7 linked regions of the Sus scrofa genome follow. The protein of the gene in region 1 interacts with the protein of each later gene in a pairwise test. Links are inferred from orthologs where the notes say so. Each region holds a gene or a part of one and is shown on either strand. Other genes may lie near its edges.

Region 1 (2,941 bases):
TAGCAAAATTAGCCTGTATGCTTAGCTTACTAATTGTATAAGAACTTTTAAGTAACATATAGGATATATTTGTACTCTATTAAAGACTTCTGTAACATTTATGTAACAAAATAGATAACATTCTATACATTCTATATATTGATTTGAATAACTAACTTCAGGTAAAATATGCTGTTTAAAATGCACCATAAGCCTAATACATTAACAAATACATGCTACCTAAACACATGCAGAAAAAATTATATAGGATTTGTAAAAAAAAAAAAAAAAAAAATTCTGGTTCAACATTTATCCATATAAAGTAGAAACTAGGACAAGTCAAATCCACCAAAAACCTACACAGGTTAGATAGGGAAGAACTTTGATGGTAAGAAAGCAAACTTGGGTTATGGATATAAAAGTAATTCTATGAGGTATACATGTAAACTTGAGAATTGTCCATGTCCAAAAAATGCATTTTAAAAATGTCTCGGTGTTTGACAAAATAAAGATAATATCTAGAGTTCCCGTCGTGGCGCAGTGGTTAACGAATCTAACTAGGAACCATGAGGTTGCGGGTTCGGTCCCTGCCCTTGCTCAGTGGGTTAAGGATCCGGCGTTGCCATGAGCTGTGGTGTAGGTTGCAGAAGCGGCTCGGATCCCGCGTTGCTGTGGCTCTGGCGTAGGCCGGTGGCTACAGCTCCAATTCGACCCCTAGCCTGGGAACCTCCATGTGCCGCGGGAGCGGCCCAAGAAATAGCACAAAGACAAAAAAAAAAAAAAAAAAAAAAAAAGATAATAGCTGAGAGTTAATTTTGATATATTTTAACAATGTTCACCTCATGGGCACAAGTAATTGATGAAAAAAGCTTAGAGAATGATAATTACCACATGAGGGTATGAGGAAAAATAGCTTTTCCCTTGGAAAATAATAACAGCAACTCAACTCTATATAATTCCTTTTCTTGCTTAAAGTGATTTAACCTGAATAACACTGGCCAAGGCATCAGAGAATTGGGATCAGGTTTCATATTTAGCAGTAATTTGAGTCAGTACATGGTAAGAAAGATTTGATTACCCTTACAATGTAATTAAATACTACAACTATTAACTTTATTTGACTCTAGTGCCATAGCTCAGCAGTCTGCTTGGAGAGACAAGATTTTTGTCCTGAAGCTGCAAAGGCATGAAAATATCCATAAAATTTTGAAATGTTCAATTGGAGGAACACGGTTGCTAGAAATTTTTTGTGGAAGAGAAACCGATGAGACTATCTAAACCTACCCCATAGAATGTCCACTCAGGCTGAATGACTTGGCCACTTAATTAAACACCTAATAAAATGTGTTTCTATATAGAAAAATAAACTTGGATATTTACCTCACATCATGTGCAAAAATTCAGCTTGGTCTAGGATTTAAATGAAAAATACAAAATTGACAAGTTTTAGTTAAAAATACAGGTTGATATTTCTCTAAACTTTGAGTAGGGAAGTAATTTTTACCATTATTAAATACATGCTAATCATAAAAGAAAATAAATTTAATAAAATAACCATCTAAAGATCTCCTAAGTAATGGAAAAATAAGTTATAAACTCATTAATGCTTGAAGACACTTGAAACACAATTGACAAATGGCTAGTATTGAGATTATAAAATAAGCACATACAGATAAAAAAGAAAGGGAAAAGGTCCCAACAGTAATGAGCAGGAGGTCTGAATAGGCACAAAAGAACAAGAGCATTGAACAAATGAAAATAAAAAGAGGTATCAAACATAACTTACTGATGAAGGACTGGCAAACATTTTAATATCTCACAACATCAAGTACTGGCAAAGATGTGCCCAATCAGGTTCTCATATAATTGCTTTTGGGAGGCAAATTATTTTTATAATATAAAGCCAAAATATCTCTCAAAATGATTAAACATCAAAAAATATAAGCTGGCAATTCTCTTCCTAGATATGTCTCCAGAGACTACTTTGTACATATGCATCAGAAGACATGCACAAGAATGTTCAGAGCAGCTAAAGGATCTGTGTAGAAATACACACACACTATTTATGCATATGTATATAAATATGTGTGTATATATATATATGGGCACATGTATATGCTACACTTAAATATATAGTACACACATGCAAATAAAACTATATATTTTCAAAATCATGAGAATAATCATAAATTCCAGCACAGTGACTCATATAGGTGTGGGAACCAAGCATAGAAATAGGGGAAGAGTACCTCTATAGAAATATTTTCTCAAGTATACTAGAGTCCATGCAGATGTTTATTTTATTATTGACTATATGGACTAGTTCTATAATATCCTCATATATTTATTCACATATACAAAATAAACTCTTGCATAAGAGTGTATCATGCAAAAACTAGAGCTTGTTTTCAGAAGGATTTTTTTTTATTTCAATCATCTTAACTGAAGCATTTTCTATTTTGCTTTCAGCTTGGTGATTTTCTGAATCAGATCCACAGGCTCCAGATATCTTTGGATGAACAGCAAGGAAGAAATGAAAACTTGGAAATTAAACTAAGGCGCTTACAAACCTGGTAGTTATTTCACAAAATGTGTCAAATTTAAGATTGGGATCTTAGATAAGGAAAACTTGAGGTCCTTTTTTCCTATTTTCTTAAATATCCATAATATATTACTTCTGTTAATGGGAAATATTAATGAAAGAAATTTACAGACATTCAATACTTAAATTTATGGGTTTCTTAGCTCATTATTTTTCCCCAATAAGCATTACATGTTTTGATAAAGATAATTTAAATATCACTTAAAAACAACTTTAGCTCTAAAGATATCAAATTTCTGAAAGGCAGAAGGAGCTTTCAAAATATATTTCACCTAGAACTGAAAGAGTTATAATGTCTGAAGGAAAATATAAGTTGTAAACTATACAGTTTGCTGGGTAGTAGACAAGAGAATCACTGTA
Region 2 (4,123 bases), on another chromosome or scaffold:
AAAAAGCAAAACAAAAAACAACAAAAAACCCAACTATCAAATGTAAGTCTCACTATGTAGATAATAAATTATAAACTTGTTTTTCTGTCTTAAATAATGTCTATTTAGAGGGCACAATCAGAACTTGCAGCTCATCAGAAAAAAATCCTCCATGTTGATAACCATATCGGTATCTCAATTGCGGGACTTACTGCCGATGCTAGACTGTTATGGTGAGTATGATCATGAAAAACAAAGGAAACATCTCTTGATTCATAATTGATTATATTCTAGAAAAGATCCAGATGTTTTACAGGTATTCTATTCTGCCAGAATGTTTAGAAGATTGTGTATACCTTAGTGAAGTTGGGCTCAGTTACTCAGTATCCCATTTCTTGATCCTCTGTGTAGTAACTAATAGAATTAGCCATACTAATATTAATGCCTTTGAGAAGTCATTCAATGATGTGATACTTGTTAACTCAGTGTATAGTGTTTGATATTATGTCTGAGAAGAGCTTGACACTTTTGTTGGGTTTGCGAGGATCAGATGAACCACCTTTGCTTTCTCTAATACACCAGTATTTATTTGATGTTTATTTTTTGCAAAGCTCAGTACTGGATGCTGCAGGGTGTAAAAAGTGAATGAGATATAGATCTCATCTTCTAGGAAATTAGAATCAGTTCTATGTCTAATACACAGAAGAAAGTGGAGAGTAACAGGTATACTTCTGTATGGGACCAGATAGAGATTATTTCTATTTGAGAGGCATTATGTAAATGAAGAACTGACATTTTGGAATCACACAGACTTTAGTTTCCACTTTTATTTATTTGTTTATTGTTTTTATTGACTTTTTAGGGCCGAATCCATGGCATATGGAGGTTCCCAGGCTAGGGGTTGAATCAAGCTGAAACCGCCAGCCTGCAACACAGCCATGGTAATGCCAGATTTGAGCTGCATCTGCGACCTACGCCACAGCTCATGGCAACACTGGATCCTTAACCCACTGAGCAAGGCCAGGGATTGAACTTGAGTCGCCATGGATGCTAGTCAAATTCATTTCTTCTGAGCCATGACGGGAACTCCTTTGTTTTTTATTTTATTTTTATTTTTTTGCTTTTTAGGGTGGCATTTGAGGTATATGGAAGTTTCCAGGCTAGGGGTCACATCAGAGCTGCAGCTGCTGGCCTACACCACAGCCACAGCCACAACAATGCCAGATCTGAGATCTGTCTGTGACCTACCCCACAACTCATGGCAATGCCAGATCCTTAACACACTGAGCAAGGCCAAGGATTGAACCAGCATCCTCATTGATGCTAGTCAGGTTCCTTACTGCTGAGCCACAATGGAAACTCCTAGTTCCCACTTTTAGCACTTAGTATCTGATATTGGTCTAATTATTTAAACTCCTAATTTTCTTAGTATTTTATTGATAAATAGCCTAACATGTGGAGCACTTGACAAAGGGTCCTTTTTTTTTTTTTTTTTTGGTTCTTAAAATCTTCCCTTATTGTAACTTTGTAAACATTTATTGGATTGAATGAGGCCTAAATGATAATCATTTCATACCTGTAAATAGCACCTGCACAGTTGACAGTCCCAGTATATCAGTCCCCTGCGGTGATCACAGAGCTACCGTGAGGGGGCATGGCCCATGATAGGACCCTAAGGCATGCGACTCAGTGTGTTGCCTGGGGATGTGGAGTAGATTGGTGGTTGGACTCAACGCTGCCAGAACCCAGACTCTTCCCTCACTGCTCTCAATGGCCTGTGAGATGTCTTTGCAGAGGAACTTGGAGCAAATCGGAATCCGAGGTTGAGGCTGTGGCATGAGTGAGTGGCTGCCGCGCTCTGCCCCTTGCCCCTCCATCACCCAGGGCTGGGAACACAGTAATTGTGTTCAGCCAGTATTGAAAACCATCAGGTGTGCTGCTGGTTTGCCACTTGTGGTTCTGGAGACTTTGTTTCCCTTTCTCCTCCACCTTAGAAATAGGGAATGTAAATAGAGGCCCCTGGGAGGAGGCCTGGATTACAGTTGTTCTAGAGTCCTGTTGCTATTGATTTTGGTCATTGACGCCTGGTTGTTTTGATGAGGCTTTCCCAAACTTCCCAAGGCTCACACTTGGTACCACCCAAGTGCTCTTGTTAGCATGTTCGATTTTGTTAATTGCTACTGCTTTGCGCTTAGTGGGCAGTCACATCTACTGGCCTGCACCACCAGCTTCCTGGGCAGGAGTGAAAAGACCCCCTGCTCCTCCTATTTGCCCTGGCTCTGTCATTACCTCACAGGGTCTCAGCCACTCTGAGCTCTGTGTCACTGCTAGAACCAGCCACTCTAGTCCTGGCAATAGCCAGAGCCAAGAGTTCTTTATTTTCCTCTTGGCCCACAGTGTCTTTCAGGTGTTGTGTGGGAGGTAGTAGGGGGAAAGTAATCACTTAAGTCTGTGATTTTAATTAGGAAAGAAAGAATATAAACACTAAGGGTAAATAATAATGCTAATGTTTAAAATTTTCAAGTTGTCTGGCAAGCTCCTTGTTCTCTTAGGTCAGCAACATAGTGATAGCATTACTGGTTTCTTTTAGCTGTTTTAAAATATGTCGCATTGTCAGACATTTTATTTAACCCAATCTCTCCAAAGTATTGTTGTGTCATATGTAATCAACATAAAAACTTTGTTAATGAAATAGTTTACATTGTTTTTTTATTAAGTCTTTGAAATTTCATGTTTATTTTATAGTTATATCTCAAGTCAGACTAGCCACTTTTTCAGTGCTCACTAGTCACATGTAATTAGTACCTGCCATATTATAGGGCAGTGCAGTTTTAGACAGTCTTGGGAAGTGAACTTAAAGTAGTGAACAAGTAGTTTGGTTTCTGCAGCCAGCATTTGATCATCAGATGTGACATCCATGTAAGCTAAACAAAGCAAGATGAAAGAAAAATGCATAGCTGTTTCTTTTTTCTTTTTTTTTTTTTTTTTTCTCTTTTAGGGCCACAGCTGTGGCATGTGGAAGGGCCCAGGCTAGGAGCTGATTCCGAGCTGCAGCTGCTGGCCTACACCAGAGCCACAACAACCCAGGATCCGAGCCACATCTGCCACCTATACCACAGCTTGTGGCAACGCCAGATCCTTAACCCACTGAGCGAGGCCAGGGATCAAACCCACATCCTCATGGATACTAGTCAGGTTCTTAACCCTCTGAGCCACAGTGGGAACTCTGCGTACCTATTTCTTATTTATCCTCTTGGCTTTAATTGTAAAACATGAATCTCCTTTTCCTCAGTGTTATACTTGCTTGAATCTTGTCAAGTTTAACAGCGAGACTCAACAGTCTGGTGTCTGATATCTCCTCTAAAGTATTCCTTTTGGATAGAAGTAATGTTGGCAGGCTAATGTTAAGAGATACCTTGGAATGGATTCTATTTCTTGTATTGGCTGTATTGGGGAATTTTTTGTCAGCTTTCAGGAAAAAAAGTATTGTTTTTGCTAGTTCAAGACAGTCTTTTGAATGAACAGTCTTGTTGACAGTGGCAAGGGTAAAAGAAGAGAGATTGTTCTTTTTCTCTTGCTTATCCTTCTCTATTCTATAAAGTGCTGTGAGACAAAGCTTATCTATAGCTAAGAAACATTTAATTATAAACGTGAGATTATGAAAACTTTAAGATTAGTCACTTTTCAAACAGAACATTTAAAATTTAGAAGGAGAGTTGGTATAAAAAAATGCGTCCTTGGAATTTCCGTTGTGGCACAGCAGAAACGAATCTGACTTGCATCCATGAGGATGAGTGTTTGATCCCTGGCCTCACACAGTGGGTTAAGGATTTGGCACTGCCGTGAGCTGTGATGTAGATTGCAGGCGCAGCTCTGATCCTTCATTGCTGTGGCTGTGGTGTAGGCCAGTGGCTATAGCTCCGATTTGACCCCTAGCCTGGGAACCTCCATATGCTGTGGGTGCAGCCCTGAAAAGACCAAAAAAAAAAAAGGATCCTTGTGGCCATGTCTTTATGGTTCCCTTATATAGATATAATTCATATAAATGTCTAGAAGAAGGCAAAGAAAAAATCAAATTCCTTTATTTAGATTAGAATAACTGATTTTAAATTACTAATTTTTCTTGTTTCTTTTTCAGTAATTT
Region 3 (4,123 bases), on another chromosome or scaffold:
TTGTCTTTTTAGGGCCGCACCCACGGCATATGGAAGTTCCCAGGCTAGGGGTCAAATTGGAGCTATAGCCGCCAGCCTACACCACAGCCACAGCAACGCAGGATCCGAGCCGAGTCTGTGACCTACACTACAGCTCATGGCAACTGTGTCAAGGTCAGATCCTTGACCCACTGAGTGAGGCCAGGGATCGAACCCGAAACCTCATGGTTCCTAGTGGGATTCGTTTCCTCTGTGCCACGACAGGAACTCCTTCTTTTTCTTTTTTGTCCGCGCCAGTGGCACATGGAAGTTCCCAGGCGAGGGGATCAAACTCAAGCCACGGCAGTGACGAGGCGCAGATCCTCAACATCTAGGCCACCAGGGAACTCCTCACAATCTGCTTTTTGATCACTATTATGTATCAGAGATCAAAGTTATCCTCGCCAACCAATCCCTGATGCCAGCGAAGGCCAGGTCCATGTGCTTTATCAGCTGGCTGGACCCAAAGCAGCTGGGTGGCTCTTGAAAATCAAGAAGCCTAACCAGGGCCCCTGGGAGGAGGGCATCCCTAGCATCCAGCACTAGGTGGGGCTGGAACTCCCTAGGAGAGTGCAAGTCTGCGCCAACAGAAAAAGAAGCAGATGACAAAGGGTGAGGTTGTATCCCTAGCAGCACAGCAGACATCACTTTTATCTGGAAATTATTTGAGCAGGTGCTTCCAATACACTGTGGCTCTTATGAAACCCTTTTCCTGATAGCATCTCCAAGCCATCAAGAGACTAATAAATCTGGCAACAATCTGAGATTGGGTTGGGCGTGGTTTTTTTGTTTTTTTTTAGGGCCAAACATGTGGCATATGGAAGTTCCCAGGCTAGGGGTCGAATTGGAGCTGCAGCTGTTGGCCTTCGCCACAGCCACAGCAATGCCAGATCTGAGCCACGTCTGCAACCTACACCACAGCTCATGGCAACACCGGATCCTTGACTCACTGAGCAAGGTTAGGGATCGAACCCGCATCCTCATGGATACTAGTTGGGTTCGTTACCTGAGTCACAACGTCAGGAACCTCCTAAACCTTCAACTGGAAAAACAAACAACCAACGCCCCCCACCCCGGAACAGTTCTGAAGCCTCCTAGGCTCTATTTAGTTCAAGCTGTTACATGACTAACTGTAAGAGGAAGTAATAGCTCACTTCCAGTCAAACACACAATGATTGGGAATCATAACAAGTGACCCTGGTGTGACTGTGGGATGGGGTTACCCCTTAAGAATAAACAAACAGGTTTTAGGAGTTCCCATTGTGGCTTAGCAGCTAACTCTTCCAACTAGCATCCATGAAGATGCAGGTTCGATCGCTGACCTCGCTCAGTGGGTTAAGGATCTGGCATTTCCATCAGCTGTGGTGTAGGTCACAGACACGGCTCGGATCCCGAGTTGCTGTGGCTGTGGTGTACGCCAGCAGCTACAGCTCCTCCTGGACCCCTAGCCTGGGAATCTCCATATGCCGTGGGTGTGGACAGAAAAAGACAAAAAAAAACCAAAAAAAAACCAGGTTTTACAGGGCTAGATACCTCCAGCCCTGCATCCTCCACGTGGCCAGCTTTTTGGCCCCTCTTGCCCAAGGTTCTTGAACTCCAAAGCGCCCAGGAAGCCAGGGAAGCAGAAATGCCACTCTACCCACCCTCCACCCCAGACACCTGCTGACGGCATTGGCCACAAGCTTCAGCTGCTCCTCCGCCTCGGCCGTCTGCTGCTGCCTCCGGCGCCGGGCCTCCTGAGCGCGGCTCAGCTCTATCTGCAGGGCCTAGGAAGGAGGCAGTAAAGAGAAGGGTCCCCTTCCTGGGGTGTCCCTGCTCTCCCCTGGCCTCTGCCTGTCTCAGACGCTGACCTTGGCGCTCATCCGCTCCACCTCCACCTCCGCGGCTTTGTCTTGCAGGGAGCGCTCCAGGATGGCCCGTTCCTGGCCCTGGGTTTCAGCTCTTTCCTGGAGCTCTGCCACCTGGGGGAGGACAGGAGGCAGGTCTAGACCCAAAAGCTGTAGGGGGGACACTGGGAAGGGGTCAGGGGCAGAGGTCTCGGAAAGAAGGCCGCAGAGGGAGACAAAGCTTGGGTTCCTGAGACTGGAGTCTGAGTCGGGATTTCCCTCCAGAAACATGGTCCCTATACCCACACCCTGAGGAAGCGCCCTGTGACCCACCCACAAGGACCCATGGCCTCTGTTCATGCCGCCCACCCATCCTTGAATGCTGTCGCCTCCTCAGGTGACCATCCCACCTAAGGCCGGCCCACCTCACAAAAAGTAAACCCCACAAGAGCAGGTCCTTGTCGGCCTCTGCTCAGGGCGGTGCAGCCAGCATGTGAGAAGCATTCAGTAGGTATCTACTGAATAAATGCCAGCCCTAAGGAACAAAGAGCTGGGGGAGAAGACGGGGAGAAAGAGGGTACCAGGCCACCTGTCCCTTCAGCTGCTCCACGCATCCTCTGTGCTCCAGCTCCTGGGCCTTCAGCTGCACCATGAGGGCGAACACCTTCTCCCGCCAGCGCTTCAGCAGGGCCTGGCACTTCCTGGTGAACTCGGGCTCCAGGCAGTCTGAAGGCTGAACCTGCGGGTGGAGGAAGTGGCGGGGAGTGTGGGCTCCTGGGGAGCAGAGGAAGCGGGTGGGTTTTGTTTCTTCTGTCCTGCCTAGGCCATTGGCAGCCACAGCAAGAAAAGGCATTCAGGGGAAGACGATGCTGGCAGGTTCGGGGAGGGGCACGCCAACCCCTCCCATGCCTGGGGTTGGGGACAGGGCAAGGCACCCAGGGGCCTACCTTGCGGGCCAGCTCCTCCTCCTGTATGCAGAGGATGTGCGTGAGGCTCTGCACGCGCACCTGCAGCAGCTCAGCCGTGGTGTGCAGCCCGTCCCGGTCCTCCTGCAGCTGCTACAGTGGAGTGGGGGTAGGGGGAGGGCAGCCGCTCTGTTGGAGCTCCCAGAAGCCCTCAGGGATGGCCAGTCTGGGCCCCGGTCACGGCACTGCCTTCTCTCCCCGGGGGCTGTATTCTGCTCCAGCGGCCCCCTTGCCCAGGACCTGAGCCCTCATGTCCCACCCCATGCCCAGCACTCTCTCACCTGCACAGTTTCTAGAAGCTCCTGTCGCTCTGATTCCCACGTCTGGCTGTGGACCTCGGGAGGAACCTGCTCCCCCACATATCTCCTTAGGTTCTCAGCCAAGGTCACCTGAGCCTCCAAGGCCTCTTGGGTCTTGCTAGGGTTGGGGTGGGAGCAGGGTAGCCATCAGTGGGGCACCCTGGAGACCCACCCCACCCACCAACTGCTGGACCCCCTCGGCCACCTCCCTACTCACCTCAACTGCTGCCGCAGCAGCTCAGCCTCCCTCTGGGCCGCAGCCAGCTCCTTGGCTTCCTCTGACCTCCTGGTTTCCAGACTACTCAGAGATTTCTCCAGGCCCCCAGCCTTGTGAGTCAAACTGGAAAGAGCCTCCTGGTGAGCCTGTGTCAAGGAGGAGAGCTGTGGAGAGAAGGGGGCGCTCAGCAGGGCCTGCTGGCCCACAGCTGGCTTCCCAAGTCCTCCTCCCGCCTCAGTCCTGCCCCTCACCCCCACTTCCTATGACCTTGGATGACGACCCAAGAAATCACCCAACGGCACACGACTGAATGGAGACCGTCCTTAGCGCCTTACTCCCCCTCACCCCGGCAGGTCTCCCCCAAAACACTGTCACTCCTCTCCATATCCAGTGCCACCAACCTGAGGTTAAAAACCACCCTCATTTCTGGACAAGGACAACTGTCTCCTGACTGGTTTTTAAAAACCACCAGTGGTTTACCCAGACCAAAACCCAGCTTCTTCCCTGGGCCTGTGAAGCGTGTTGTGCCTTGGCCTCTGCCTGCTTCTCTGAGCTCACATCCTGTCCCTCCCTGTGCCCACTCTGCTCCAGCCGCCGTGCTCTCCCACCGTCCCCGCAACAAGCCCGCCCTTTCCCACCTCGGAGTCGACCCAGAGGCTTGGCTTCCCCCAGCTCTTCAAGTCTTGGGGACACCATCCCCTTGGGCAGGCCTCCCGGGGCCTCTACTCCCCACCCACCACCCACTCTGTCCATCACATCACACCCATCCTGCACTTCTTAGCATCATGAAATGATCCA
Region 4 (4,906 bases), on another chromosome or scaffold:
CTGAGCCTAATGTTTTCAAGGCTTATCCCGTCATAGCATGAATCAGCAATTTATTCGTTTTAAGGCCAGTAATATTCTATTGGATGGATGGACCACATTATTTCCCTATTAACCAACTGATAGATATTTGGGCTGCTTCCACTTTTTCACTATTGTGAGCATCAGGCTGCTGAAAACATTCATGTGCAAGTTTCTGTATATAGGTATGTTTTTAATTCTCCTGGGTATATCCCTAGGAGTGCAATTGATGGATGGCATGGTAACTCCATGTTTTCTTTTGCTTTTTTTTTCCAGCTGCCAGATTGTTTTTCAAAGCAGCTGCTCTTGCTTGTTAGAAATTTACATGATTCATTCAATTGTTTATTCAATGACTATGTATTAGAGCACCTGTGGGCACTGTTCTGGGTGCTAGGAATACAGCAACGAGCAAACAGGCAGCTCATATGGAGAAAAGATAAGACTGGTGTATGGGGTGGGGTACAAGCCTTGGAAAATATCACTGAAAAGAGGGACATTTAATCTCGGGGAGGGACACTCCAGGTAGAAGGAAGAGCGAGTGCAAAAGTCCAGAGGAGGGAATGAATGAAACGGATGTACGTGAAGAACAACGAGGTCGCTGGTGTGGAGAAAGTGAGGGGAAAAGTGAAGGGAGGTGAGAGCAGGGAGGTGATCTGGACAGATTGTTTAGACTCTAATGAACCATCACGAACACCCAGTGGCCACAACTACCATTCTGGGCGCAGAGGCAACCCCGGTCCATGCTGTGAGAAGATCGGGCTGCTGCCTGGGGTTCCTCAAGATTCCGGGGCAGAGTCTCCTAGCCCTCCACCTTCATGAGGTCCTTGCAGCCTTCCTGTCCCCACCACCTTTCCCCAAATGCTTCCAGCCCAGCTCCCAGTCTCAACCTCGCAGCCTTCTGGTCCTGGACACTACAAAACCCCTATTGCATAAAAGGAAAAGCTGAGGCCCCTGCATCCAGAGGCCTCCGGCTCAGAGCAAGGCAGGACACGACCGCGGCTCCAAGTCCAGTCAATAAATGGGAAACTTCCCCGCCAGGTTTGCTAAGAACATATCCCACTTTGCCGTGGGGAAAGGAGCTGCTCCCAAAGATCAACCCCTTCCCTAGCAACCTGCCGCCAGCCCCATGGCAACTAGGGCCGAGCCCGACACAGCCCACTGGTCCCGGGATCCCGCAGGGGCGTGGAGTCTCCCCTTTACGTACGAAGGAAAAATTCTTGCCGCATCTACTGGCCCTTTAAGAGGCTCCGCCCCGGCGGTGCCTCAAAGCATCCTGATTGGTCCCGAGAGCGGGCCGAGCACAGCCGAACTTGACGCACCCGCCCGCAGCCTTTCCCACTAACCTCCCACGCGGCTCAGCGTCTGCCCCAGCCAATCACCAACGGGCGCGCCGACCTTCATCTGCATGGCCACGCCCCATGGGTAGGGCACACCCAATCCGACCGCTCGCCGAGCCTTTATTAGCATGCCGGGGGCGGGGTGGGGCGGAGCAGGCGGCAGGGGCGGGCTTGGAGCGGTTGGTTGGAGCGTCGCAGCAGCCGAGAGGTCCGGGAAAGTTTCTTTCGAGGTGAAAACAGCCGCAGAAGTCGGGGCCCTGCGAGAGAGCGGGGGGCGTGGGGGTCCCAGGATCAGGGCGGGGCCCCTCCCGAGCCGGGGGTTGCGGACCTGGGTCTCCTGGGGGGCGATCGTCCAACAAAGGATCCCTGGGGCGCCCGCCCTCGAGGGCCTCCCTGTCCCCGGATCCTGCCCCCCCCGGCATTCCGGGGCTCCACAGCCAGACCCCGCCGTCAGCTGCTCGAGAGACCCTCACTCGGCCACGATTGTGCTTTCCAGGTGCGGCCGGGAGCGGCCATGTCCCACGGCCCCAAGCAGCCCGGCGCGGCTGCCGCGTGAGTGCGACATCCCCTCCCCCAGCCCACTCTGGGCTACAGCCTGGGCGCCCCCCAGGTCGCGTAGGAGCTCTTCGACCCCTGCCCCCCACGGTCTTGACTCCCCCAACCTGGAGCAGGCCCTCCCCCTCGGGCCCTCACCAGCTTTTCCCAATTCCTGGGCTCTAGCCTTTAAGGGGTCCCCATCCTCGGATCCTGACCCCCTCAGACCTCTGTTTCCAGAATTCAGGCCCTTAGCTGCCAGTGATACCGTCGGAGGTGGGGGGTAGTGAGGATGATCCCTAGGTTCCAGACTCTCCCAGGTCCCTGTGGCTCCGGTAGTGCCCCTGCTGTCTCAGCCCCCCACCCCCAATCCTGATTACCTCAAACCCCTCTAAGGACTCAGCCCTCGAGCTGCCAGCTCCGCCTTCGGGTTTGGAGAGTGGGGTGACCCTGGCTTCCCGTGTCTCCAGGTCGGCGAGCGGTAAGACTCCAGGACAGCACGGGGGATTCGTGGTTGCTGTCAAGCAAGAGCGCATCGAGGGCCCGCGGGCAGGAGAGAAGGGGTCCCACGAGGAGGAGGTGAGTCCCTGCACTTTGGGGGCGGCGACCCTTAGCCTTGAAGCTCCGCCCCGAGTTCAATATGAATTCGCTGTGGCTCCGCCCACCGACCAGAGTTCCCTCAAGATGCTGAGACCCCGCCCAAGTGCCAAATACCACGCCACCAGAAGCTCCCCTGCCACTCTAAGCTCAGGCCCCGCCCATCGCCGAATGCCAGCTTCGCCCACTGCCAGAAGATCGCCTCCAGTACAGAAACCACGCCCACGCCCAGAGCCCACGCCCACACCACAAGCCTGCCGCATCCATGGGCTGATCCTCTGACCCCAGTCCCTTTGATCCCTTCACCCCTGGCCAGGGTTTTCCTCACCTCACTCTTCCAATCCTGAACTCTGTCCAGGCCATACCTCCAGGCCTCTGGGTCCCACCTCCTGGCTAGGACCCATCCAGGGCCATGCCCCTTCCTCTCTGGGCCCAGCCCCAGCCCTTCAGGCCCCCTCCCAACGGCCCGGTTGGGTTCTGCAGCCGGTGAAGAAGCGCGGCTGGCCCAAGGGCAAGAAGCGGAAGAAGATCCTACCCAATGGGCCTAAGGCACCGGTCACCGGCTACGTGCGCTTCCTGAACGAGCGGCGTGAGCAGATTCGTACTCGCCACCCAGACCTGCCTTTTCCCGAGATTACCAAGATGCTGGGCGCGGAGTGGAGCAAGCTGCAGCCAGCGGAGAAGCAGGTGGGGACTGCCGAGACCACTGACCTCTCTCCATACGCTCAGACACTCACCCGCAGCCACTTACCCCAAAGGAAAGGGTGTGGAGTGTCCTTCCTTCCGCCTGGAGAAGTGACCACCTATTAGCTCTCTCCGGCTTGTTAAAGGGTAGCCATACGCAGGAACAGAGGTAAACCTTAAACAATGTGGGAGTTACCTGGTGGCTCAGCAGGTCAAGGATCCAGTGTTGTCACCGCTGTGGCGTGGGTTCAATCCCTAGCTCAGGAACTTCTGCATGCTGCCTGCGTGGTCAAAAATAAATAAATAAACTACATTATACTAAAGAAGAAGGGTGGGGGCTGCATTTTCGATGGAAACCTGATTTTTAAATCTGGCAATTAATTTTAAAATTGCAAAAATATCAAGGAGAAACAAAAAAACAAAACACACCAGCTTGCACCCTCTACGTGGGATTTCAACAAGCAAAGTGGGTTTGGGAGGGCAGTCCAGCCTGGACGTGGGAGCCTGCAGATAGTCAGACACAAGGAGTGGTTTATAAACGCTGGAATTGGGGTGAAGTAGGTGAGTTCAGGGAGTCAGGAGGTGGCCTGAGTAGCAGCCTGGAGGGTGGGTTTTGTCTGGAGGGCAGTAGGGAGCTGTGGGAAGGGTCAGAACAGTGAGCTGAATGATGGAGATGGGGTAGACTGAGCCAAGCCTTCTCTTGCTGCTCCCGCTAGCGGTACCTGGATGAGGCCGAACGGGAGAAGCAGCAGTACATGAAGGAGCTGAGAGCGTACCAGCAGTCCGAAGCCTACAAGATGTGCACGGAGAAGATACAGGAAAAGAAGATCAAGAAAGGTGCAAAGGGCCCCAGGCACAGCTGAGTGCCTGCTGTGCAACCGGTGACACAGGCAGACCGACCTCCCCCTTCATGGGGCTTTCACGGGCCAATGGGAATGAGACCCACATAACCAGACAGTTGTGAGTGAACAGGCCTGATCAGCGCTCAGATGGGACACACACAGACACTGGGGAGCCCAGGCTTCGAGCTTGACCCAGGAGGAGTAGGGCTGATTGGGGGAGGGGAATGGTGGTGTTCCAAGCAGGGGGAACAGCACATGCAAAGCAAAGCATAGGTTCAGAGGAGGCCTGGGAGGCTGACCCCGCCCTCCTCCCTTCCCCACCAGAAGACTCCGGCTCCGGGCTCATGAATACCCTTTTGAATGGACACAAGGTGAGCTCCCCTCCTCCGAGGAGAACACCTGAGTGGGAAAGGTCTGGAGGTATTTAGACCCCTGGGTGAGCGAGGACCAACGCTCATGGGATGAAGTGAGCTCCCGGTCCACATGTGTGCAAGCGGAGGCTGCGCGGCCACGCAGGGGGAAGGCTCTTAAATGGACTCTAACCCAGGTGGCCTGAGGAGACCCTTCCAAGCTTAGGGGATGACCCAGAAGGGGTTTGGCTGCCCCTCACCCCCCACCCCAGAAAAATGCTACCTTGTCCTGTCGTCCCAGGGTGGGGACTGTGACGGCTTTTCCACCTTCGACGTCCCCATCTTCACTGAAGAATTCTTGGACCAAAACAAAGGTAAGTGCTCACCAGGGGTTCTTAGGAGAGCAGGCTGTGGGAGGGAGAGAGGATGGGCCAAGAGGGCGCAGAGGTGGAAGGCGGCGGGTGCCTTCCTCCCCCGCCCCGGGAGCTGAGGTGGGGCTGGAGGCAGAGCAGTGAAGGAAGGTCTGGCTGATGGGCACAGCTCT
Region 5 (4,123 bases), on another chromosome or scaffold:
TCTCAAATGCATAACCTCAATCTCACCATGACAAAGTATCACAAAGACCCAAACTGAGGCGCACTATACAAAGTCACTGGAGTTCCTGTTGTGGCTCAGTGGGTTAAGAACCCGACTAGTATCCATGAAGATGTGGGTGTGATCCCTGACTTTGCTCAGTGGGTTAAGGATCTGGGGTGGCAGCAAGCTGCGATGCAGGTCGCAGATGTGGCTCAGATCTGGCTGTGGCTATGGCTATGGTGTAGGCTGGCAGCTACGGCTCCAATTCGACCCCTGGCCTGTGAACTTCCATATGTTGTGGGTATGGCCTTAAAAAGACCAAAAAAAAAAAAAAAATCACTGACCAGTACCCTTTGAAAGTATAAAAGTTATCAAAGAAAAAACAAAAAGTGTCACAGATTGAAGGAGAGTGAGGAGAGATGACAAATAAATGTAATATTCTGGGTTAGATTCTAAACCAAAAAAAAAGAAATTAGTGGGAAAAATTACAAAACTTATATAAGGTCTGTAAGTTAAGAGCACTGTGGCAATATTTTTGTATCAACTGTATTATTTTTTTGGTTTAGATAATTACACTATGGTTTTCTCAGATTCCCCTGGGATCTGACCAAAAGGTATAGAAAAACTGCAGTGTTTTATTTTTTAACCAATTCTCTAGTAGGCTAAAAATAAAGTTATTCAAAAATAAAAAATTAAATGAAAACCTGTAAAAATAAGCAAACTGCCAGTTTACTGGAGGCAACTGCCAATTTATAGGAATTCAGAGAACACAAAAGAGATACAATCACCAAAACCCACACCATTTTCTCCCAGACTCAGTTTCTCCAACATATAAATTACCAAAAAAAAAAAAAAAAAAGAGTTGGACTACGAATCTCTACATATCAAAAAGACTCTAAAGGGAGTTCCCGTCCTGGCGCAGTGAAAACGAATCCAACTATGAACCATGAGGTTCGGGTTCGATCCATGGCCTTGCTCAATGGGTTATGGATCCGGTGTTGCCATGAGCTGTGGTGTAGGTCGCAGATACAGCTTGGATCCCATGCTGCTGTGGCTGTGGCATAGGCCGGCAGCGACAGCTCCAATTTGATCCCTAGCCTGGGAACCTCCATATGCCACAGGTACAGCTCTAAAAAAGCAAAAAATGAAAAATAAAATAAATCCTGGAGTTCCCTGGTGGCTCAGCAGGTTAAGGATCCGGCATTGTCACTGCTGTGGCTTGGGTGGCCACTGTAACACAGGTTTGATCCCTGGCTCAGGAACTTGCACATGCAACCAAAAAAAACAAAAAAATTAAGTTGAGGGGGCCAGGGCAGCTAGATCTGGGGACAGTGTGAGAGAGGCGGGAACTACACAGAGAGCTGTCTGGAGACCTGCAGAGGCGCCTCAGCCCTTTACCCCCAAGTCTTTGGCTAAGGACTGATCTCACAAGTCCAGGAAAGAAGCAGCAGAAAGCAGTCTAACAACACCCCTCCAGCCCTCAGGCATTTGGGAGAATCCACAGAAAGGTCACTCGAGAGTGGGGAAGCTAAATCAGCAGCAGCCAAAGGCCACCTCGAACCCGCAGGAAACGGCCTACAAGCCAGCCTTGAAAGGACCCGCCTGACCCTCAGAAATTTAAGTGGGGCCAGAACCAAATCCAAGACTGTTTCTTAAAGTAACCCAAGATCTAGGAGCTGACAATGTGAAATGCACAAAATCCAGCAGCCAACCAAATATTAGGAGTCATACAAAGAAAACAGGAAAATACAACTCAAAACCAGGAGAGAAATCAGCAGACAAGGACCAGCGATTATAAATAGGCTCCATTTACTCAAAAGAGTAGTTAAACATGAGCACGACAAAGACCAAAAGGGGAGAGAGTAAATCAGCCCCAAATGGAGCATCTAGAAATGAAAAAACAAACACGTAAAATGGAAAAAAAAAAATGCACCGCAAAAGGATTTAAGATCAATGAATTTACAAGCAAAATAATTACTGAAAATGAAGCACATACAGAAAAAGTCTGAAAAAGATGAACAGAACATCACTGACCTAAGAGGAAAATGACACACTATCTAAACAACATATTTGAGGTGAAGTGTGATGTTTTCTTGAACCATTTTTTCTTTCCTAACCGTTTTTTCTTAAATAAAACCCTAACTAGCTGAAAGTAATTCCCCCTTAACCTAATTTCAAATATACTGCTTTGATAAAGACAGGGCTTGCAGTAATGCATGTCCCATACAAGAGAACACACAGTAAATTACGACATGAGAAACCAGTGTGTTTACCCCACACTTTGGAGCAGATTCCTTTGAGCTCCAATCTCAAGTTCAGGAGGCCTCTGATGAGCTAGCTACACGAGGGTGGGGGCAACTGACACCCGATCACAAGGTGCTACCGGACTTGGAGGCCTTCCAGCTGGGGAAGCAGGCTTGACCTGCCTGTGCGCCAGTCTGTATGGCAGGCAAGTGTGGAAAACAAAGCCTGCCTCTTGTGGTGAAGATTAAACCAAAATAAGATGCAAAGGGGCTGGCACCGAAGCCTCTCCCAAAACAGCACCTACTGGGTAGTAGCCATCAAACCCAAAGAAATGACTCACAGAGGACAGGGGCTGAGAAGGTGTTGTTTCCTGAAGGCCTACTACGCACCAAACTCTGCCTTAGAGCTGCCACAGGCCCTGTCAGCCTGGTGAGTGAGACTGAAGGCAAGATCCCTGAGGCCCCTTCCTGACCTCAGCTGTCCCAATTCTAACCCTGAGGTTGGGAACCCGGTTGGTGAGGCAAAATCAATTCCAATATAAATTTTTAAAATTATGAGAGCTTTTCACAGAGAGCCTCAAAAATCAGAGTTTGAATCCTCTTTCAGTCTTCACTCCCCTCAAACATGCCAAATATTTTTTTTACTCTCTTCACTGCTGAATTCCGAACACCACTGTCCTATTTTTCCGGCATCCTGTACAGCTTACAGAACAGTTTGACTCACACAGCCTCATCCATGTGAGAGGATGATTTCACCAATTAAAGGCAACGCTACCAATTACTTCCCATCATAAATAATGTTTCCAGCTTCAGGTGAGTGCCAAGCAACAGAAAGAGGTGAAGAACCCTTTATCCGCTTAAATCTGGAAGAATTACTATTTGGACTGATGCCTAAAAGCACATAAATGAGATGAGTGGGACGATAAAACCTGCTAGCTCTCACCTCCTTCTTAGGCAGCTTTTATTACAGAGCCAGTGAAATGACATTTCACACATTCCAAAGACGCGCTGGGATTTCCTCCCCATAACATGAAACCCTCCCGTGGCAAGATGCTTGTAGTCCCGCTGTTAAATGACTCGAACACGCAGACCTTCCGAAGCCCAATGTCCCAGCAATGGTGCCAGGGTTTGGGCCCTAACACCGTTCCTCTCCCATGAGTTCTGGTGCCCTCCAGTCCTGCTCTCCGTGCCTCGATTCCTAAATCCGATGAATACACAGAACGACACTCCCTCTTGCCTCCTTAGCTCTCCAGAGGTCTTACCCAAAGAACAATGTGCTTCCTGACCCTGGTTAAGGGAACGCGCTCATCTGCACAGTGACGGGAACCCCCTGGGGGCGGCCGTGGCTCACCTCCAGTCTCGATGCAGGGATAGGACGGAGGAGGTTCTCTCCAGTTCCCGCTGGAATCCTTCATGTGAGATCGGTCAGAAGCAAAGTTCTTCAAATACGAATCTGCACGGATCACTCGGAATTTCCTACACACAAACCAACATTCATTTTATATCACAGCTGAAATCCTAACTCAGCTCTTACATAGACCGTGTTCTATGACATGAACAAAACCACGCAGGCCTTTTTATACACTCTGTGATACAAAAACATACACATGCTGCTTTAATACCGGTTAAAGACAGCGTGAGAAATGATCAGCTGAAAACCCAAACTTCAAAGGCATGGAAATATATCTAGCTGCCTTTACTTTCCCAACTGTGTATCAGGGGCAAAGGGTAGTTTTCAGAGACTGCCATCACAGCGCTCTCCACGGTGGCATCATAAGGCATCCTACTCACCCACCCCACACCATCCCACCACACTCCCCCCAAAAATAAGAAAAGGACAGAGAGCCCCACAACAACTTTCAGAAAAATGTTTTGGATCT
Region 6 (4,842 bases), on another chromosome or scaffold:
GGCAAATGTGCAGAGGGCAGGTGAGTGGAGGGAGAGGCTTGGGAGCGGGTGTGGGGGTGTGGGGCGTTGACCCTGTGTCTAGCTTGCCCCATGACCCCATGACTCAGGCTCTAGCTATGTCCCCAAGGTCAGGCTGACAGGGTGGAGTCGGGGTTCCTGTCTGGACCCCGTGTGGACTTCCAGGATTCCGCCAGCTCCCAGGGAATGAAGGCTCGAGGCAGCCCAGTGTGGCGGGGGACCAGTGGGGTCCTGGTGAATGGGCCCATTGGGGAGGAGTCGAGGTTCCTGATGGGGTGAAGGAAGGTATAGGAGAGCCTTGGGAGAGTTCCTCAAACTCAAATAGGGGCTGGGGAAGAAAGAACCCCAGGAATCCGGGGGCCGAGGAGGCTAAGCTGGGACCTGATGGAAACCCTGCCACGGCAGGTGATGTCAGACCTTGGAGCGGGGGGCATGTGAGCGCTTCTGCAGAGCACACGCTACTGCGTGGACGTTGACGCGCAAAAAGGCTTGAGGGAGAGACTCTGCCCCTGATGTTGAGAAGAGGGAACCCCTCCTTTGTAGGAGGGGCACAGACCCCCATGGGGTGGGTGGGAGGACTGCTGGCACCCTATTAGCAGCTGGGCCCCGTCCCCCAGTGTTTATGTGGGGGAGGGGCTTGAACTCATGCCTTCGTGGCTGCCTAGGTCTTCTCCCCACCTGGCCACCATGTCCTGACAAGCTGGGGATTTCGAGGTAGGTGGGGATGGGACCTCTGTGGCCTCACAAGGTCCTCCCAATCTCCTCCCAATCTCCTGCCACCGAGGTCAGGCCAGGTGGTGGGAGGTGATGTCACCTGGCTCCCCAGCTGGGGACTGAGCAGGCTCTGGGAGGAGGGAGGGAGCAAACTCCAGAGGAAGGGATGAGGGCAGGGCTGGCGGCCAGCCAAGGCAGGCTCCATGGTCAGTCCTGGCGTCTTGGGGCAGAAAAGGAGGCAGGAGGCTTGTTATCTGCCACTGTGGACTTTGCCGCTCCCAGCCCCGGCAGGGTGACTTCCTTATGCTGGGAACAGGACTGGCTGGGGTGCGGGGTGGGGCTGGAGGTGTCCTACGGCCAAGTGAACGCTCTCCCTGCCACACCAGGGCCACAGGATGGAGTTAGGACAAGTGGAGACCCACAGACCACAGCCAGTCTTTTATTCACTCAGCAGACATTCACTGAGCACTTGCTGTATGCACAGAAGTGTTCTGAGTGCCAGAGGTACTGATGAAAAAAGGGCAGGCAGAGTTCCCTTGCGGCGCAGCAGGTTAAGGATCCGGCGTTATCACTGCAGAGGCTCAGGTCGCTGCTGTGGCACAGGTTCCATCCCTGGCCTGGGAACTGCTGCATGCCAGGGGCGTGGCCAAAGGGGGGAAAAGAAAAGGACAGAGGGGTTTTCTGTCCTCATAAAAGTACGAGGGAGGCACAGTCTTGTTGGACAGCAGCTGTGAGGGGACATAATGTGGGAGCCCACCTCTGGAAGTGACATCGAAGCCCCAGAATGTAAGAGAGCGCCAGGGGCTGGTGTGGCGAGAGACGCAAAGAGCCCTCTGGACGGCAGCGCAGCCCGCACAGAGGCCTGGAGGGCCTGATGGGCTGGGAGCTGATGAGAAACTGGCGGGGTTCGGCCCCTCTCATGAGGAACGGTGCTGAACTGGCGGGGTCCATCCTCAGGCGTGCACAGGTCATTTCATCTCTCTGTGTCTTACTCTCTTCATCTCTAAAATAGGGGTGACAGTCGTCCCGGAGCTGCCATCCCGGGGAGGTCATAGAAGAGTCAGTGTGGCGTAGAAGGTAACTGTTCCAGGCACCCAGGTGCTCAGTAAAGGCCCCCTGTTGTTACAGTTGTTTGACTCTGTACCATTAATTCTCCCTTCCCAGGCAGGACTCCTGACTGCAGCCCATGGGCCTCTGAAGAGGCGTTGTAAGTCCGCCCAGCTCCCCACTTGCTGTTCTCCCACTCAATGGGAAGGGAACCAAGGTACCAGGGCCTTGACATTGACCCAGATTCTGCGAGGGCAGGCTGGGCCAGGCAGGCGGGTGGGTTCGGGGTACCCCTTCTTCCCAGCTGGGGTGCCAGGCCCTGGGTCAGGGTGGAGGCTGGGGACACACGCAATATGTGCTTCCTTCATGGCTCCTGTGCATCACTGCCAGGCCTTGTCCAGCCATCAGCCACGGCCTCTTGACGGCACCAGGATGGAAGTCAAAGGTCAGCTGATCAGCTCTCCCACCTTCAATGCCTCAGGTCGGTGTCCGTGCCCCCTCCTGCTGCCTCCTCCCCTGCTCTGAGTCCCCACTTGCCCGCTGGGGGAGGGTTGGTCCCTGGCCCCACAGCTGCTCCAGGATGCTCTGGTTGCCCCCCCACCCCGACCTTTGCGCCCTCTGTATCCAGCTGCCCTGTTTGGAGAGGCCGCGCCCCAAGTGAAGTCAGAGCGTCTGCGGGGGCTGCTTGACCGGCAGCGGGCCCTGCAGGAGGCCCTGAGCCTGAAACTTCAGGAGCTACGGAAAGTGTGTCTCCAGGAGGCGGTGAGAGCCTGACCCTATGGGTGTGGGGAGAGGGGGTAAGGAGTCGGGGCCAGGTAGGCAGACAGAGGTGGCAAGCCGCTTGGCTGAGCTGCAGGTTCCCCAAAACTCAGCCTAGGTGTCTTAGAATCAATAAACTGTGGTGGAGTTCCCGTCGTGGTGCAGTGGTTAACGAATCCGACTAGGAACCATGAGGTTGCGGGTTCGGTCCCTGCCCTTGCTCAGTGGGTTAACGATCCGGCATTGCCGTGAGCTGTGGTGTAGGTTGCAGACGCGGCTCGGATCCCGCGTTGCTGTGGCTCTGGTGTAGGCCGGTGGCTACAGCTCCGATTCAACCCCTAGCCTGGGAATCTCCATATGCCGCGGGAGCGGCCCAAGAAATAGCAACAACAACAACAACAACAACAAGAGACAAAAGACAAAAGACAAAAAAAAAAAATAATAAACTGTGGTAATAGTTTACCACCAATCCCCTGTCAACAACTTGAAATCAAAAACACCTAAAAACAAAAACAAAAAAAACCCCTAAGTTATTTCCAAAACATGGCACTAAAACCTGACCTGAACTGACAGGGGGTGATTTTTTTTTTTCTTTTTTAGGGCCACACCTGCGGCATATGGAGGTTCCCAGGCTAGGGGTTGAATTGGAGCTGTAGCTGCCAGCCTACACCACAGCCACAGCAACGCCAGATCCGAGCTGTGCCAGCGACCTACACCACAGCTCATGGCAATGCGGGATCCTTAACCCACTGAGCGAGGCCAGGGATCAAACCTGCAACCTCATGGTTCCCAGTCGGATTCGTTTCTGCTGCGCCACGACGGGAACTCCTGACATGGGGTGATTTATAGTTTCAGTTTACCCTTCTTTTTTTTTTTTTTTTCCTCCCTTTTTTGGCCACCCCCGACGGCATATGGAATTCCTGGGCCAGGGATCAAATCCGAGCTGCCGTGGCCTAAGCCGCAGCCACGGCAACAGCAGGATCCTTAATCCACTGTGCTGGGCTATGGATCGAACCTGCGTCCTGGTGCTCCCAAGATGCCGCCAATCCCGTTGCTCCACAGCGGGAACTCCTAATTTACCCCTCTGGCTGTGAATGTCCCTACAGTTTACCAGAAATAATAAAGCAATTCAGAGCATGCAGCCCAGGCCCTGAAGGGAGTGTCATATAATATGCAGTATACAGATGGTGTCACCTTTATACAGAGACATTCTGGATTCCAAAGCAGGTCTCCCTGCCTCCCGTGCCCACCACCCCAGGGGTTTGGGCCACTGAGTTGCTGAGTGTCTCTGCCACACACCCATCTGCTGGAGAACTGGGAGGAAAAAGAGAAATAACCAGCATGGGTGTTGAGCCGGGCTGGGCGCCTGGTAGGACTTCTGGAGCTTTAGGGGTCATCACTGCTTTGCCACATCCCCCCAACTAACCCTTGGTAGTCTCTGGCTCCTGCCCCCACCCAGGAGCTGACTGGCCAGCTACCCCCTGAGTGCCCATTGGAGCCTGGTGAACGGCCCCAGCTGGTCCGCCGGCGGCCTCCTGCAGCCCGAGCCTACCCCCCGCCGCCGCACCCCAACCCAGCACAGCACTCCTTGTGCCCTGCCGAGGTGAGCAGATGGGCCTGCAGAGCAAAACGTGTTGGGGGGGTGAGGGGAGTGGGGGGGAGGTGGGACAGGAGCCCAGAGGAAGCAGAGACAGGGTTGCTTGTGTCCAGGAGAGGCTAAGTAAGGTGAGAAGGGAAGGAGCCTGAGGGAGGTGGGTTCCAGGTCTGAGAGAGGATGCTGGCCCCTACTCACCTCCAGGAAGATGAAGGAGAGGCCCAGCCCTACTCAACACTGGCCCTGCCCACCCCCTCCAGGGGGAATGGGCCGCCCCCAGCAAGGGCAGGCCCCGCCCCCAGCGTTTCAGGGGGCTGGCGCTGTGGGGGGGGGCTGCTCTGTCACTGCCTGGTCCCTGTGCTTGGCCATTTGCAACATTTGGTCCCATCCCATCCTCTTGGGTGGGCCCCGCAGGAGCTGGCGCTTGAGGCCCTGGAGCGCGAGGTGTCAGTGCAGCAGCAGATTGCCGCCGCTGCCCGCCGCCTGGCCTTGGCCCCCGAGCTGAGCACTGAGCAGCGCCGGCGCCGGCGCCAGGTGCAGGCAGATGCTCTGCGGAGGCTGCATGAGCTAGAGGAGCAGCTTGGGGACGTCCGGGCCCGCCTGGGCCTCCCAGGGCTCCAGCCACCCCAGCCCCTGCCACTCTCCAGTGGGGCAGTTATCACCGCCCAGGGAGTCTGCCTGGGCACGCGCCTTGCCCAGCTCAGCCAAGG
Region 7 (4,641 bases), on another chromosome or scaffold:
CAGGCTTAGTGTCTTAACCAATGTTAGGTCTGAGGTAAGTGAGGGAATGATTCCTGGTGTTTTTTTTTTTGCGTTCTGGCGGCATGTGGAAGTTCCCAGGCCAGGAATGAACTCACGCCACAGCAGTGACCCCAGTAGGTGCAGTGACAAGGCAGTTTACTTAACCTGCTTTGCCACAAGAGAATTTCCCCCAGGTCTTTTGACTGTTACTCTTTTTACTAAATCCCACTGAAGGCTAAAAGTCATTCAACAGGCAGGACCATTCTGTGTGATGGTAAAAGAAAGGTGATAATATTTGAAAAATAGGGTTTGTGTAAAGCTCACTTTGTCTTTCCTCATTCGTTGAAACTCACCCAGATAAGCATTCCTTCACTAATTGAATTTTAACTCTCCCATAAGAAACATGGGCTAAACCATTAAAATTGCCAAAACTCCAGAGGCCACCGAGGATAAACACTTATTCAACGAAATGTTTTACTATTTAAGAAACTCTTTTATACCATGATTGTCAGAGATTTTCAGTTTCAATGTACCTTTCATCAGGCCTCCTGTTTGATGGATTCTTTTTACTTTGCTTTTATTATTATTAACCTCTAGATGCTAGATAACTAGCAATTCTCGTCTGAAGAGGAAAGGCCTGTGTTAAGAATCCAGCAGGAGGAGTTCCCGTCGTTGCACAGTGGTTAACGAATCTGACTAGGAACCATGAGGTTGCGGGTTCGGCCCTGCCCTTGCTCAGTGGGTTAACGATCCCGAGTTGCCCTGAGCTGTGGTGTAGGTTGCAGACGCGGCTCGGATCCCGCGTTGCTGTGGCTCTGGCGTAGGCTGGTGGCTACAGCTCCGATTGGACCCCTAGCCTGGGAACCTCCATATGCCGTGGGAGTGGCCCAAGAAATAGCAAAAAGACTAAAAAAAAAAAAAAAAAAAAAAATCTAGCAGGAGAGCGGGCTGTACTTCAAATCTTGCCGTTCTAAGGTTGTATCTTTTTTTTTTAATTTCAGTAAAATCATGTTTTGTATCTTTTTTTTTTAATTTCAGTAAAATCATGTTTTGCTTTGAACATATATATTTTATATGTATGTGCATTTTAATTCCCACTTATTTAACATGTGTTTTGTAGTGATAATTTCGAATATTCACATTTTTCTTTCCTGTTATTACTTTGACAGTATGTTTTTACAGGACTTGACTACGATTTTCTCTAATGTCTTTACATTAATCTTTGATAGTGAAAGTACTTTGTAGCAAACTAACAGAGAAAAAATATGGGCTTTAGTGTTAGGCAGACGTAGACTTGAATCTTGGCTCTCAAAATTTTGTTGTTGTTGCTGGGCAATGACCCAATTATCCAAACTCTCAAAGCCTGTTTGCATTTGGTTTTTGGTCTGTAATAGGAAAATGTTGATACCTCACAGGCCTGCTGTGGATATTAAATGAAATAAAAAGCAGAGAAAGTAAACTTTAGTACCTTGTAGATGATAAACATGTAAGATGTTTGCTATTCCAGTTTTCAGGTTTAATCTTTATTCATCCCACTAAAAAAGGGGAATAAGGCCACACCCACTTCAAGGGATGCTCCTAGAATTAGAGACCCGACCAGAAAAGCCAGAGCGATTTGCAAACCTTAGCTCGAAACCCATAACAAATGCTTGCATATGCTCACACTGCTGTTCTTTCCTAATATAATATGACCTATCTAATTTTGAACATAACGTACTTTTCATTCTAATAAACCAAAGTCCACATCGCTGCTGCCCTCCCACGGCGTCGCCTAGTCTCTCTCGCGAGACTCCGCCCTCCGGTTTTCCTCTGGGGATGCGGGAGGCGGAATGGCCGCGCTCGCAGTGACGTGTTTATCCTGAGCGTCTGACGTCACTGCCAGGCGCCCTGTAGCACGTTGGCCGGGCCTTCGGCGGGCTTTTCGGGGACCAAGATGTCTATGGCCAGCGATTTCTACCTGCGCTACTACGTAGGACACAAGGGCAAGTTTGGACACGAGTTTCTGGAGTTCGAGTTTCGGCCGGACGGTGAGTTGAGCCGCTCCTGAGCGGTGCTGAGCTGGGGGAAGCGAGGCGGAGAGGCCGCGGAGGAGGCGGTGTGGGGAGGGCGAGCCTCCGCGGGCTTGGCGAGAGTGCGTTGGGGCTGAGGAGCTTAAGAATATCGGAGAGTATATTGGTTTTGTGAGTAAAAGGTAACTAATCGGTGTAAGTTATTTCAGAAAAGTCTATACTGCCAGATACTAAAATGGAACCTACAGTAATCAGAATCCTAGAATCTGCTCACCAGAAGGGACCTTAAAGGCCATCCAATTAATCGACCTAATACTCGAACGTTTTATGAGAACATCCCCGCCACGCGGTGGGCCTGTGGATGCTTAAATCTTGCGGTGAACAGTAACTTTCGAACTACCCATGCGTCCGTTTTATTCATTCATGCGCTGTATGTAAGGCAGCATGAATAGAAAAAAAAAAAATCTGCTGTTCAGAACTGGAAGCGGGACATGTAAAAGAAATGAGTGTAACGATGTATTCTGGGTGCTTAAATATAGTTGTTCCATGTAGCATGCGTTGAAACTCCAAAAACGGGGGAGTGGTTAGTTCTGGATGAAAGAGTCGGGTCATCTTTAGAGAAGGTGACAGTTGAGATGAGTCTCAAAATGAGAGTAGATATTGTCTTGGACGCTGAGGGAAAATAAAGGAGTCGGACTCCTGAGAGCTGCAGGAGCCGGTGAAAGTGCCTGCTGCCCAAGTAATGGCAGCAATTTACATCTTTTGACAGCTCTGATTCTCTTTAGATAGTTGTACTGTATATAGAACTCTTACTGTAACAAGAACAGTCTTGTTAAAAGCGGCATAGGCTTTTCTTTTTAGAGTGCATGTTATGTGCTGGGCAACATGTAAAAACAAAAATTGAGGTTATATTAATGCGTCGGGTTCTTTAATTCCCCTCAAGGAATTAAATCTTGCTGAGTGACACAAACGTGAAACTAATCATAAGGCAGTTCTGATGGTAAGTGCTGTGCTCATGCTTTGGACAAAGTTCTGTGAAAGCGCAAAAGAAAAATTAGGGGAGGATCACATATTAGAAAAATGAGAGAATATCAGATATTTTAGGTAGAAGTCAGGGTAGCTACATCTAATTATTTAGAAACCTTAATTACCTTAGTCTCCCTCATTCTACCCAAGTCTTTTCTAAATTTAGCTAAGGGGCCAGATTTACCTGAATTCTTCATCTGTATTTTTGGGTTTTTTTTGTTTTGTTTTGTTTTGTTTTTGTTTTTTTGTCTTTTTAGGGCCGAACCTGGCGTATGGAGGTTCCCAGGTAGGGGTCTAATCAGAGCCGTAGCCGCTGCCCTATGCCAGAGCCACAGCAACACCAGATCCTGGCCGCGTCTGCAACCTACGCCACAGCTCATGGCAACACGGGATCCTTAACCCACTGAGCAAGGCCAGGGATTGAACCCACAACCTCATGGCTCCTAGTCTGATTTGTTTCTGCTGCACCACGAAGGAAATGCCTTCATCTGTTCTTTATGTGATATTGTTTTCAGGACTTTTGCCTGTGAACAACTATCAGTGTGTCTGTATCACTTTTAGCCAGTCACATAAATTAGGTAGTCTAATATTATCAGGGAAATTTCATTCCAGGACAATAGCTCTCATCTGCCACCCCACCATTCCACATACTTCTGTCAGTAATAATGAGTCCTATAAACAATGATTCCTAAGGGACCTCATCAGGGTAACCTATCATTCTAGAGGATAAAGATCGCAGTACATCTTGGAGTTCCCCTCCTGGCTCAGCAGAATCAAATCTGACTGGTATCCATGTGGGTGCAGGATCAATCCTGGCCTCACTCAATGGGTTAAGGATCTGGCATTGCTGAGGCTGTGGTGTAGGCCAGAGGCTACAGCTCTGATTCGACCCTAGCGTGGGAATTCTGTATGCTGCAGATTCGGTCCTAAATAGACAAAAAAAAAAAAAAGTTAACAGTACACCTGTACCTGGGCAACTGACTGAGGAGAGGCATGCCTCAAGGAGTACACCTAAATTTGTATATATCAGCTAACAAAACGGCCAGTTTTATCCAGAAGCTGCACATAGTTGGTATTCTTCTTTACCATAGTTCTAAAATATTAGCATTGCCATAATACATACACACATTCATTTGAAGGAAAATAATTAAAAGAACAGTGGGGAAAGCATGAGTATTAAGAAGGTATATCTAGATTTGAATCTTGTGTGACCCTGGGCAAGTTATTTAACTCCCTGTTTTCTCAACTGTGAATAAAGAATAAAACCTACTTTTTATTTATTTTTTTTCAGATTAGGTTAAATGCTCTGGGTAAATAACTTAGCAAAAATAAGACATATAAACTTAGAAGAAATATTAGTTCCATTTTCAGATTCCCTGTTGAGATCGTGATATAGATTAAGAAAATGGGCCTTGAAAATGACCCTCCCATTGTATAATTATAATTGAAGGCATGAATTTAAAAAGTTGCCTGGCTTCAACTTAGCCAACATATATCCAGCATTAATCTTATGCTAGGAGGTAGGAAATATTAATACAAGTAATAGTATAAAATGGTTTCTACCTTCAAAATTGCTTATAGTGTCATTATTTTATTTTTTAGCAGT

The links.
Region 2: the proteins of CCDC102B (region 1) and PSMA1 interact in binary tests that used the Homo sapiens proteins (3 or more experiments, as listed by UniProt). The two-hybrid records come from large-scale screens. The link is inferred for Sus scrofa from reciprocal best matches to the Homo sapiens genes CCDC102B and PSMA1.
Region 3: the proteins of CCDC102B (region 1) and CCHCR1 interact in binary tests that used the Homo sapiens proteins (3 or more experiments, as listed by UniProt). The link is inferred for Sus scrofa from reciprocal best matches to the Homo sapiens genes CCDC102B and CCHCR1.
Region 4: the proteins of CCDC102B (region 1) and HMG20B interact in binary tests that used the Homo sapiens proteins (3 or more experiments, as listed by UniProt). The two-hybrid records come from large-scale screens. The link is inferred for Sus scrofa from reciprocal best matches to the Homo sapiens genes CCDC102B and HMG20B.
Region 5: the proteins of CCDC102B (region 1) and WDYHV1 interact in binary tests that used the Homo sapiens proteins (3 or more experiments, as listed by UniProt). The two-hybrid records come from large-scale screens. The link is inferred for Sus scrofa from reciprocal best matches to the Homo sapiens genes CCDC102B and NTAQ1.
Region 6: the proteins of CCDC102B (region 1) and CCDC120 interact in binary tests that used the Homo sapiens proteins (3 or more experiments, as listed by UniProt). The link is inferred for Sus scrofa from reciprocal best matches to the Homo sapiens genes CCDC102B and CCDC120.
Region 7: the proteins of CCDC102B (region 1) and MAGOHB interact in binary tests that used the Homo sapiens proteins (3 or more experiments, as listed by UniProt). The two-hybrid records come from large-scale screens. The link is inferred for Sus scrofa from reciprocal best matches to the Homo sapiens genes CCDC102B and MAGOHB.

Annotation. Positions count from the first base shown.
Region 1 is NC_010443.5:153,689,516-153,692,456, reverse strand, and holds part of CCDC102B (coiled-coil domain-containing protein 102B), read left to right. Parts: intron 1-2,448; coding exon 2,449-2,556; 3' UTR 2,557-2,941. UniProt on the Homo sapiens protein: During interphase, forms fibers at the proximal ends of centrioles to maintain centrosome cohesion. During mitosis, dissociates from the centrosome following phosphorylation to allow centrosome separation. Contributes to CROCC/rootletin filament formation.
Region 2 is NC_010444.4:44,743,004-44,747,126, forward strand, and holds part of PSMA1 (proteasome subunit alpha type-1), read left to right. Parts: intron 1-108; coding exon 109-212; intron 213-4,117; coding exon 4,118-4,123. UniProt on the Homo sapiens protein: Component of the 20S core proteasome complex involved in the proteolytic degradation of most intracellular proteins. This complex plays numerous essential roles within the cell by associating with different regulatory particles.
Region 3 is NC_010449.5:23,547,946-23,552,068, forward strand, and holds part of CCHCR1 (coiled-coil alpha-helical rod protein 1), read right to left. Parts: intron 3,490-4,123; coding exon 3,326-3,489; intron 3,227-3,325; coding exon 3,091-3,226; intron 2,903-3,090; coding exon 2,792-2,902; intron 2,584-2,791; coding exon 2,434-2,583; intron 1,980-2,433; coding exon 1,869-1,979; intron 1,785-1,868; coding exon 1,678-1,784; intron 1-1,677. UniProt on the Homo sapiens protein: May be a regulator of keratinocyte proliferation or differentiation.
Region 4 is NC_010444.4:75,095,135-75,100,040, reverse strand, and holds the start of HMG20B (SWI/SNF-related matrix-associated actin-dependent regulator of chromatin subfamily E member 1-related), read left to right. Parts: upstream 1-1,483; coding exon 1,484-1,851; coding exon of another isoform or gene 1,852-1,907; intron 1,908-2,359; coding exon 2,360-2,468; intron 2,469-2,969; coding exon 2,970-3,173; intron 3,174-3,886; coding exon 3,887-4,007; intron 4,008-4,336; coding exon 4,337-4,383; intron 4,384-4,663; coding exon 4,664-4,736; intron 4,737-4,906. UniProt on the Homo sapiens protein: Required for correct progression through G2 phase of the cell cycle and entry into mitosis. Required for RCOR1/CoREST mediated repression of neuronal specific gene promoters.
Region 5 is NC_010446.5:15,981,533-15,985,655, forward strand, and holds part of WDYHV1 (protein N-terminal glutamine amidohydrolase), read right to left. Parts: intron 3,720-4,123; coding exon 3,595-3,719; intron 1-3,594. UniProt on the Homo sapiens protein: Mediates the side-chain deamidation of N-terminal glutamine residues to glutamate, an important step in N-end rule pathway of protein degradation.
Region 6 is NC_010461.5:43,135,995-43,140,836, forward strand, and holds the start of CCDC120 (coiled-coil domain-containing protein 120), read left to right. Parts: upstream 1-1,947; 5' UTR 1,948-1,996; intron 1,997-2,169; 5' UTR 2,170-2,211; coding exon 2,212-2,260; intron 2,261-2,407; coding exon 2,408-2,541; intron 2,542-3,997; coding exon 3,998-4,141; intron 4,142-4,546; coding exon 4,547-4,841; intron 4,842-4,842. UniProt on the Homo sapiens protein: Centriolar protein required for centriole subdistal appendage assembly and microtubule anchoring in interphase cells. Together with CCDC68, cooperate with subdistal appendage components ODF2, NIN and CEP170 for hierarchical subdistal appendage assembly.
Region 7 is NC_010447.5:61,423,955-61,428,595, forward strand, and holds the start of MAGOHB (protein mago nashi homolog 2), read left to right. Parts: upstream 1-1,744; 5' UTR 1,745-1,933; coding exon 1,934-2,027; intron 2,028-2,952; exon of another isoform or gene 2,953-3,009; intron 3,010-4,641. UniProt on the Homo sapiens protein: Required for pre-mRNA splicing as component of the spliceosome. Plays a redundant role with MAGOH in the exon junction complex and in the nonsense-mediated decay (NMD) pathway.